Linked DNA regions of Caenorhabditis elegans. The protein of the gene in region 1 interacts with the protein of each later gene in a pairwise test. Each region holds a gene or a part of one and is shown on either strand. Other genes may lie near its edges.

What was found.
Region 2: the proteins of arf-6 (region 1) and cnt-1 interact in a two-hybrid assay, tested with the Caenorhabditis elegans proteins (one study listed by BioGRID).

What each region holds. Positions count from the first base shown.
Region 1 is NC_003282.8:16,945,255-16,950,299, reverse strand, and holds arf-6 (ADP-ribosylation factor 6), read right to left. Parts: upstream 3,181-5,045; 5' UTR 3,173-3,180; coding exon 3,091-3,172; intron 3,024-3,090; coding exon 2,920-3,023; intron 2,830-2,919; coding exon 2,732-2,829; intron 2,649-2,731; coding exon 2,548-2,648; intron 2,328-2,547; coding exon 2,267-2,327; intron 921-2,266; coding exon 839-920; 3' UTR 566-838; downstream 1-565. Other genes in the region: rad-54.B (DNA repair and recombination protein RAD54-like), read right to left, coding at 191-233; Y116A8C.9 (Transmembrane protein 185B), read left to right, coding at 3,500-3,546, 3,598-3,675, 3,728-3,826, 3,888-3,984.
Region 2 is NC_003280.10:12,085,617-12,090,918, forward strand, and holds the start of cnt-1 (Truncated cnt-1), read right to left. Parts: upstream 3,253-5,302; 5' UTR 3,246-3,252; coding exon 3,174-3,245; intron 3,129-3,173; coding exon 2,995-3,128; intron 2,857-2,994; coding exon 2,680-2,856; intron 2,026-2,679; coding exon 1,887-2,025; intron 1,005-1,886; coding exon 915-1,004; intron 1-914. UniProt on the Caenorhabditis elegans protein: GTPase-activating protein for the ADP ribosylation factor family. Regulates endosome recycling downstream of rab-10 and upstream of arf-6.

The sequences.
Region 1 (5,045 bases):
CTTTTTGTAGAAATTGTACATAGATTCGATTCCCGGCGATATGCGTTCCCTAAAAAATTGTCCGGCTAAGCTCCGCCCCTTTAATGGTGGATTTCAGATTCCAACCATTTTTGGTCGTTTTTTTTTCGAATTTTTCAGCCAAAAATGCCAATTTTTCAGAAATTTTCAGCCTATAGGCGTAGGCGCCTACCATTTCCCTCATAACTATCCACGTTGAGAACCACTCGGGACATCTGAAATATTAAATTTAAATTTTTGGCCTAAAAATCTGAAAATCTGGCAGCAAAAAATATTTCGTCCTAAAGAAAATCAACTATAAAATTGGCCAAAAAATCGATTTTTTAAATATATTTTTCTCCATAAAAAACGATAAAATCACAGATAATGGCAGCGAATATATTTGGAGAAAATTGGAGGTCGCCGCGGCCGAGAAAAACCTCGGTCATGGAGCAAAAATTGGGGAGAAAAGCAGTGATTTTAGTGTTTTTTTTCGGGGGGGGGGGGGGAACTCGGGAAAAACAGTGGGGAAATAAGTGAAAATTGGGCACCTAGGGGGGGGGGGGGGGGGGAAATTTTGGAAATTTATTTTTTTGGGGAGCATTTTGAGCATTTTTTTCGAGTATTTTCTGTGAATTAAAGAGAGGGAAAATAGGAATAAGCATGGCACACACAATGTTAAAATTTAAGGGATTGAAAATTTTTTGAAAAAAAAATTTTTTTTTTTTTGAATTAAAAAAAAATTTAAAACAGAAAAAATTGCAGATAAAAAGTGAAAAAAATACTGTTAATATTTGGCAAGACGCGAATTTTTTATTCCAAATTCTTCAGATAATGTGTTTTACGGCTTGCAATTCTGGCTTAGCCACGTCAGGCCTTCGTGTAGGCCGTCTCCGGTTGAAGCACATGATGGTTGGACGTACCTGCAAAGAAATTAATTGGAAATTATGGGTGAAAATCCGTGGATTTTTAGGTGAAAAATGAAGGTTTTTGATTGAAAATCTGAAAAAAATCAATTTTTTCGGTGAAAAATTGGCCTAAAACCGACAATTTTCGAGTTTGGAGCGTTTTTTTTTAAGGAAAAATGGGTTTTTTTAGTGGAAAAATTGCTGAAAATCCGGAATTTTAGGTGAAAATCGGTTTAAAATCGACATTTTTCGAATTTTGAGCGTTTTCAGGTGGAAAATATGGGTTTTTTAGTGCAAAAACTGATGAAAATGCCGTAAAATCCGGAATTTTAGGTGCACAATCGGTGTAAAAACGGAAATTTTCGAATTTCAAGCACTTTTTGATGAGAAAATTGGATTTTCCGTGAAAAACGGATGAAAATAGCTGAAAATCTGCAAAAATTCGATTTTTTTTGGGAAAATTGGCCAAAAACCGACAATTTTCGAGTTTGGAACATTTTTTTTAAAGGAAAAATGGGTTTTTAGTGAAAAATTGTTGAAAAACTGCTTTTTTTTTGTAGAAAATCGGTTAAAAAAAGGAACTTTTTTTGAATTTTGAGCGTTTTCAGGTGGAAAATATGAGTTTTTGAGTAAAAATTGGCTTAAAATAGCTGAAAATCTGGAATTTTTGGTCGAAAATCGGAGAATTTTCGAATTTCAAGCACTTTGTAATGGAAAAATGGTTTTTTTTTTGTGAAAAAACGGGAAAAGCCGGCAAAACGAGTTTTGGGCGTTTTTTAAGGGAAAAATTGAATTTTTAATGAAAAAAAAATGTTGAAAATATGAATTTTTGTTAGAAAATCGGTTAAAAACGGAAAATTTTCGATTTTCAAGCACTTTGATGAAAAAATTGAATTTTTACTGAAAAAATGCTGAAAAACTGCATTTTTTGATGGAAAATGGCTCTAAAACGATAAATTTTCTAATTTTGAGCGTTGTCAGGTGGAAAATTGGATTTTTAGTGCGAAAACTGATGAAAATGCCTTAAAATCTGAATTATTTGGTGAAAAAACCGAAAAAAAGGCGAATTTTTAGAGTTTTCCGTTAAAAAAAAAGAAGAAAAATTTCGTTTCTGGAGGTTTTTTAGAAGAAACTGAGGGAATTTTAAGCGAAAATCGCTATTTTATGCTTTTTCTCCGAGAAAATTTAAAAAAATTGTATTTTTTGCATAAAAACGAGATTTTTAGTGAGAAATAATCGGAAAAATTTGATTTTTACACCAAAATCTGCATTTTCTACCCATTTTCCGAGAGAAAATGGGTGTTTTTTGATGTATTTTTGCAGAAAAATCAGTTTTTCCTCGAGTTTTTGATGTTTCTTACCAATTCCTGTCTCGAATCCTCGTCAATCCCAATTTATCCTGAATTTCGTGTGGTTTCATCGCTGAAAATTGCATTTTTAGTGAGTAAATCCATTTTTTCAGTAAAATCGGGCATTTTTAAGCAAAAAAAGCTGAAAATTCGAGTTTTTAGGTTAAAAATCGATTTTTTCCGAGTTTTTCGGGGTAAAATCGCTCATTTTTGAGCTGAAAATCGATTTTTTCCGAGTTTTAGGTGTAGCATCGCTCATTTCGCTCAAATTTTCCGCCAAAAAAGCCACAAACCATCGGCAAGATCCTGTTTATTGGCAAAAACCAAAATAATCGCCTCCTTCATTTCCCGATCATTAATTATTCGGTGAAGCTCCATTCGCGCCTCGTCGACTCTGAAAATTCCGAATTTTTCCGTTGAAAAAATCGATTTTGTCCAGGAAAAAAACCAATTTTTCCGCATTTTTCGCCTAAAAACCTGTCTCTATCAGCGGCGTCCATCACAAAAATGAGCGCCTGAGTTCCTGTGTAATAATGTCGCCAGAGGGGTCGAATTTTGTCCTGTCCGCCGACGTCCTGAAGAAAAATTGGGGTTTTTGGGGGTTTTTAGGCCAAAATCTGGGGTTTTTAGGCCAAAATCCAGGGTTTTTGGGGCGGAAAACTCACCCAAACGTTGAATTTGATATTTTTATACGTGACAGTCTCCACATTGAAGCCCACCGTCGGAATTGTGGTCACTGATTGCCCGAGCTTCAGTTTGTACAGAATTGCTGGAAAAAAAATCGATTTTTTCCATATTTCTAGCCGTAAAAATCGAAATTTCCGCCAAAAACTCACTGGTTTTACCCGCCGCATCGAGTCCGAGCATTAATATCCGGAGCTCCTTTTTGCCAAAGATTTTCGACAGGAATTTACCCATTTTTCGATCTAAAAATGTGATTTTTAGGCAAAAAATACCGAAATTAGTGCGATTTTTGAGTAAAAAACTTGAAAAATCAACAAAAATGAGTCATTTTTCGCGAAAATTCGCTTTAAAACGGCGGAAAAAGGAAGAAAAAATCAATTTCCGCGTGGCTCCGCCCAGTTTTGCAAGCGGCGCGCGTGCTATTTGCAAGTGGTGCGCACGGGATTTATTGTTTTCGTGTTTTATTTTTCGTGGAATAAATCGAATTTATTATTGATTTATTCAATTTTTTCAGATTTTCAGTGAAAAAATCATGAAAAATTGCTAAAAATTGAACAAAAAATGGTGGAATTAAGTCTGGGAGTCTTTTTCCGATCGTTTAACGCATCGTAAGTCTATTTTTCGAGCTAATTCACCTAGAAACCCTGAATTTTTTCCAGAAAAGTAATTCTCTGCGCTTGTCTGCTAATTTTCACGGCATTATTCACGTTAAAACTCGATGGAAAAGTCTCATTTAGGTTGGAAATCCTCAAAATATCAGAAATTTCCCGAAAAAATCGATTTTTCCAGCTACGCATTCGTTTTTGCGCCGCTATGGGCCTGTAATCTCCTAGTTTTCGTCGGAGCCATCGTCGGAATTTGCTCTTTTTGCTCAAAACCACCGTCGAGGTGGGAAAAGCTGGAAAAAGCTGGAAAAATGTGGAAAAAATAAAGAAATTTGACATTTCAGAAACGAAATTGTGATGCGTGTCGACTTTTCGGCTATGCTAATCACTGCTACCGAGCACATTTTTCTTTGTACATTTGTTTCGCTGGTTTTTATTAAGGTAAACGATGGAAAAGCGGATTTAAATAGATAAAAATGAAGAAAAATGGCCAAAAATCGAGTTTCTACGTGGAAAAGCGAGTTTTTCAGCGAAAAAACCGAATTTTTTGGACAAAAATCAAGAAAAAGCCGAAAAAATTGCGTTTTTTTCTTGATTTTTTGTCAAAATTGCTTGTTTTGACCTTAATAATCGATAAAATGGGTCAAAAATGTGTAAAAATAACCCTTTTCAAGCCAAAAAACTACATTTTCTGACCATTTTGCTTGAAAAAAAAGTGAAAAATCTTCATTTTTTAGAGCAAAGCTCAATAAAGTAGCTGAAAAATCGATTTTTCTACAGTTTTTGACTCGAAAATTCATAAATTCATTCCTTTTTCACTGAAAAAATGAAAAAAATGAAGAAAAATCAATTTTTCAACTTTAAAATCACAAATTTGCCCAATTTTTTATTGAAAAAATCGATAAAAAAAGGTTTTCTATTTTAAAATATTCAAAAAATCCAGATTTTGAGGTGTTTTTACCCAAAAAACAAAAAAAAATCTATTTTTTTCGATATTTTAACCTTAAAAAATGGAAAAAATCAAAATTTTTGGACTTTTTTACTTTAAAAAAATCGTAAAAATCCAGATTTTTATGTATTTTAGCCCAAAAAAAATCTAGTTTTTTAGTCTTTTTTACCCCAAAAAATCCCAAAAATCCAAATTTTCAGGTAATTTTACCCTAATAACAGCAAAAAATCCAGTTTGTTGTCTTTTTTACTCTAAAAACAGCTAAAAATCTAGATTTTTGGTGTATTTTAGCCCAAAAATCTGGTTTTTTAGTCTGTTTTACCCCAAAAAATGCCAAAAATCCAAATTCTCAGGTCATTTTACCCTAGTAACTGCAAAAAATCCAGTTTGTTGTCTTTTTTACTCTAAAAACAGCTAAAAATCCAGATTTTTATGTATTTTAACCCAAAAAACTAGAAAAATCTAGATTTTTGGTGTATTTTAGCCCAAAAATCTAGTTTTTTAGTCTTTTTTACCCCAAAAAATGCCAAAAATTCAAATTTTCAGGTCATTT
Region 2 (5,302 bases), on another chromosome or scaffold:
TCAAAAATGGCTAGGTAAATAAAGAAAAATGCAGTCGAGTGGAGGGGTAGTTTCGAAATATTTATTCATTTTTTCTCTATTCTTTGTCACTTTTTTTTTGGAAACTTCGAAGAAAGTGAAATTTTGGTTTTTTCCGGAATTTTTAATTTTTTTTTCAACAAAAAAAGTTATTTTTTACGACCAGGACTGGCATCAAAAATTCGACCGAAAAACAAAAAAAAATTTTTTTTTAATGTTTTTTACCAAATTTAGAATGCTAAACGGCTAAAAGTTGGAAGTTTTTGAATATTTTAATAAGAAAAATTCAAAGGAAAATGGCTAATATTGAGATGTTTTTTTTTAATTTTTGAGTAAAAAACGGGAAAAAAATTATTTTTGATTTTTTTTTACCAAAACTATAACTACAGTGGAAAAAAGTTTTTTTGAAATTTTTAGTGAAAAATTATAATGCGAAACTGCTAAAAATTGAGAAATTTTGTAATTTTTGAGTCAAAAAACTTTTAAAAAAATTTATTTCGGGCTTTTTCGCAAAATTTAAAATTTCAAAACTCTCAAGTTTTTGAGTTTAAAAATTCAAAAACAAATTTTTTAACAAAGTTCTAATGCATTACAGTTTAAAATAAAATATTTTGAATTTTTAGTTAAAATTTTTTTAAAAATTTTATTTTAATGTTTTTTTTTGGCAAAAGTAAAATGTTAAACGGCTACAAAAAAATTTATAAATTCTTAAATTTTTGAGCAAAAAATCAAGAAATTGATCTTTCTAAAACTCTTACAGCTAAAAATAAAATATTTTGAATTTTTTTCAAATTTTTGGAAAAAAAAAGTTTCCGTTATTTTATGTGATAACTCTCACATTAGCCGAGGGAATTTCTAATTTTTTTAACCAACAATTTTCAAAATTCAAAACGAACCGCATCGAGAATCATATGGTCCTTGTGTGCATGTGCAATATTAATATTTGCCACGTAGTCGAGTGTGGTGTGTGCGAAGCAAGTGCCGACCTGGAAAAGAGCGGGTTTCTTGGTTTGAAAAAAAAAATGTTTTTATTTGTTTAAGGGTTTTTGAGTGGTTTTTCTTGCAATTGAGACGCTTTGTGAGAAACTATTTAAGGTGAAGCAAAAAAAAAAACGACAAAATTGAATGTTTTATATAACCAGAAATTTTGATTTTGTTAAGAACATTTTTAAATTTTTCGATTTATTGTTTAAAAAATAGACTTTTTTTTTCAGAAAATTCTTTTTTTTTCAGTAACATTATTAAATTTTTATCCAAAAATTAATCAATTATTTATTTTAACAATTTCTCGAAAAATAAAATAATCTTGAAAAAAATAAAAAAGAAGATAATATATTTGGAATTTTTTTTACTGTAAAATCGGCTTTTTTTGATAAATCAATATTTCTTTTTTCAAAAAATTGATTGTTCGCTTTAACGATTTTTATATTTCTCGAAAAATATAAATCTTTAAAAAATTACAAAAGAAATGTTTTTAAATTTCTTTTCAGTAAAAATGGGCATTTTTCAAGAAAGTCGATTTTGAATTAGGTTTTTTTCTCTGTTTTTTTTAGTTTTTCGAAAAATTAAATTTAAAAAAAAAATTTCAGTAAAGTTAACATTTTTTTGATGAATCAATAATTTTTGTTGCAAAAATTAATTTACGATTTTTATATTTCTCGAAGAAAAAATTTTAAAAATTTACAAAAAAAAATCACTAAGTAATTTTTTTGGCGAAAAAAAGATATCTGTTTTTTAATTTGTAAAAAAAAATTTCAGTACAATACCTATTTTTAGAAAGAAATTTTTTTCAAAAATTTGGATGAATTTTTTTTTGGTTTTTTATCGAGAATTTCGAATATTTTTCGTTGAAAATTCAAAAAACTCACCGCAGTAAGTGCATTTCGCCCTTCTGTCGCATCTGCAGGCTTTTGCCTTGAAATACTCGCATTTTTGACTAATGCATCATCCATTGATTGGGACATATTCTCAAAATGTGCACGGGATTCTGCCACTTTTGTGAGCTCACTTAAATTAGATTTTAGAGGAAACATTTTTGAATTTTTTTTATTTCGAAAAATCTAATTTTTAATTGAATTTTCAATTTTCTGTTGTGAATTATGCGATTTTTGGTTAAAAACACTTGAATTTTGGCTGGAAATTTATTATTTTTCGAAAAAAATTGCCTTATATTGTTTTATACGTAAAATTGATTTTTTTTTTAATTTGGCGGGAAATTCAACTTTTCAAAAAAGATTTTTTTTTTGAAAAATTACCAAAAAACCCGAGAAAAAATCGAGTTTTGCCTATTTTTTTGCAAATTTTTTTACAGGAATTTTAATTTATTTAATTAATTAATTAATTAATTTTTTCCAATATAGAAATTTTTTTGAAGTTTTCTGGCTCAAAAATTTTTTTAAAATTTTTAGCTCAATCCAAATACCTTTAGTTCAAAAAAAATTAAAATTTTCGATTGTTCAAATTTGTCAATTTTCTGTACCTCTAGAATGAATAATCTAGTAAATCAGCGGGAAATTTGAATTTTTCACCTCTAAATTTAAAGTAAAACGAAATTTTGATTTAAATTCGCTTAAACTCGTTATTTTGTAATTTTCGGCCTTTTTAACTCAGAATTTATCGATTTTTATGATTTTTCGCCAAAAAAAACTCCGGAAATCTCACATTTTAATGAAATTCGACAGTTTCGTGAAAGTGACCACATTTGAATGGTCGAAATACGTGCGAAATAGGTTAACAGTGTGTGCATAGGCTTCTGATAATCCTTGGAATGTTGTAGACGCCAATGGATTGCCGGAGAAGCTTTCATCGCATAATTGATTCACCGAAACCGTTAATTTGCTGGAAAAAACGGGGATTTTTTGAGAAAATTTGAATTTTTGGTTTTGAAACGATTATTTTTCGCTATGTGCCTTTAAAATACAGTAATCTGAAAGCTTAATCGTTTCGAGACCCCAAAAATGAATTTTTTTCACGTACTAAAACGTGTTCGTATAATTTTTGCTGAAATCAATCATTGCAGTGATGTGTCGGAGCATTTCGTTGAGCCGATTCTCTAATCGATTAAAATACATTGCATGTTGAGCGACTGTTGCGCGGAATTTTGGAGAATCCTGCAAAAATTTTAGGTTTTTGGTGTATTTTGAGGGAATTTCTACCTGAATTGCCTCGGAGCAGTCGATTTTTGGCGGAACAGACGGCATCGCCATTCCATTGTTTGATACTGTCATAAAATCTGGAAATTTATCGATTTTATACGAAGAAATTGAGTTTTTTCGGCTGAAAATTGAGAAAAAATAATCAAAAATAATTAATTGATAATATTGCGTCGTCAATTTCAATGCCAAGTATGCAAACACCACAGGTGCACAGAACAAGATCTACCGTACTCTTCAATTAATTAATTGAAGAGTACGGTAGATCTGGTACTGTGCAGCTGTGGTGTTTGCGTACTTGGCATTGAAATTGACAGCACATGTTTATCAATTAATTAATTTGGTTTTTAAAAACGCAATTTTAATAGAAAAAATGTCGAAAAAATGGTAAAAAAACATTTTTCTCTTGAAAATTTTCATTTTTAATAGCTAAAAATAGAAAAATAAACTGAAAACAGTCTTGATTTTAAAAAAATTGCTTAAATTTTTCACTTGAAAAAAATTCAAAAAAGTCTGAAAAGTCCGATTTTTAGAAGAAAAACTAATTTTATCACCATTTTTCTGTACAAAAATTATCGAAACTTATGGAAAATAACAAAATTTTCCCAATGTTAAAATAAAAGTTTTAAGTTTAAATTTTAAAATTAATTTTATTTCCAAAATTTCGCAAAAAAAATCCTATAAAAACGACCAACAATTTTTGGGTAAAAAAACTTTTTTTTTGATAAGTGGCTGTAAATATGCCACGTGGCTTTTGAAATTAAAAAAAAAAACATTTTCAAATGTTTTTTTCAACAACTTAAACTTCCGTATGCGCCTTTAAAGAAAACCAAAAGTCCATATCACTCGCACAATAAAGGAAAAAGAGAAAAATTCCAAGACACGTAACAAAAGCCTCAGAACAGAAAAAAAAAACAGAAAAACAGCCGGTTCTTCTTCTCTCTTGCCGCTACGGCTGCCGCTGATGATGATGGTGATGAACAGGAAAACGAGGGAGAGAAATAGAGAAGAGACGCAGGCAGTTAGACGGCGGGAGAAGAACATCGCGACAACTTTTCGGACGGAGGTCATTGTGTTTGTGGGGGGAAGAAGAAAAGGACGAAATTTTTGGAGAAAAAGGACAGTCGTATATAAACATTCACTGCTTGTTTCTCTAGGAACTCTCTTGATTTTCAATACTCTTTTTTTGTGGAGAGAGCTTGAGAATGAAATTGGGTGAGAGGAGGAGAAGGGGAGGCACCGAGAGCGCAACTAATTTAATATTCTCTTACTTTGCTTTTCTAGGCAGACGAGAAAGAGTTACGGGGAAATTGGAATTTTGCAATGCAACAACATTACACATATGTACACGTGGTACCAGAGTCTTATTTCGGTTTGATCTACGCAGATCTACAAAAAATGCGGGAGTTGAAACGCAGACTTCTCAACTGACTTCGCAAGGTTAAGAGCGTGCTGACGTCACATTTTTTGCGGGAAAAGTTCCCGCAATTTTGTAGATCAAACCGTGTTGGGACAGCCTGGCACCACGTGATTATCCAACAAAAAATACTTTTTTCATCAAAATTTAGTGATAAAATAAAAAAATTTTTTTATCTGAAAATATGTTTTATTTGACTTGGAAACATTGCAAAAAAGCTCAAAAATTAATCGGCAAATCAGCAAACCGGCACATTACCGGAATTGAATTTTCCGGCGAATCGGCAAATCGGCAAATTGCCGGAATTGAAATTTCTGGATAATCGACAAATTTCCGGAATTGAAATTTCTGGATAATCGACAAGCTTGTCGGAATTGAAAGTTTTCGACAAATTGGCAAATTGCCAGAATTGAAACTTCCTGCAAATCGGCAAAATGACAAACAGCCGGAATTGAAATTTCCGGCAAATCGGCAAACCAGGCAACTTGCCGGAATTGCAGTTTTCGGCAAATGGGCAAAATGACAAACAGCCGGAATTGAGATTTTAGGCAATTCAGCAAACCAGCAAATTGCCAGAATTGAAATTTCCGGCAAATCGGCAAACTGGTAAATTGCCGGAATTGCAGTTTTCTGCAAATCGACAAGCTACCGGAATTGAAAGTTTCCAACAAATTGGCAAATTGCTAGAATTGAAATTTCCGGCAAATGGGCAAAT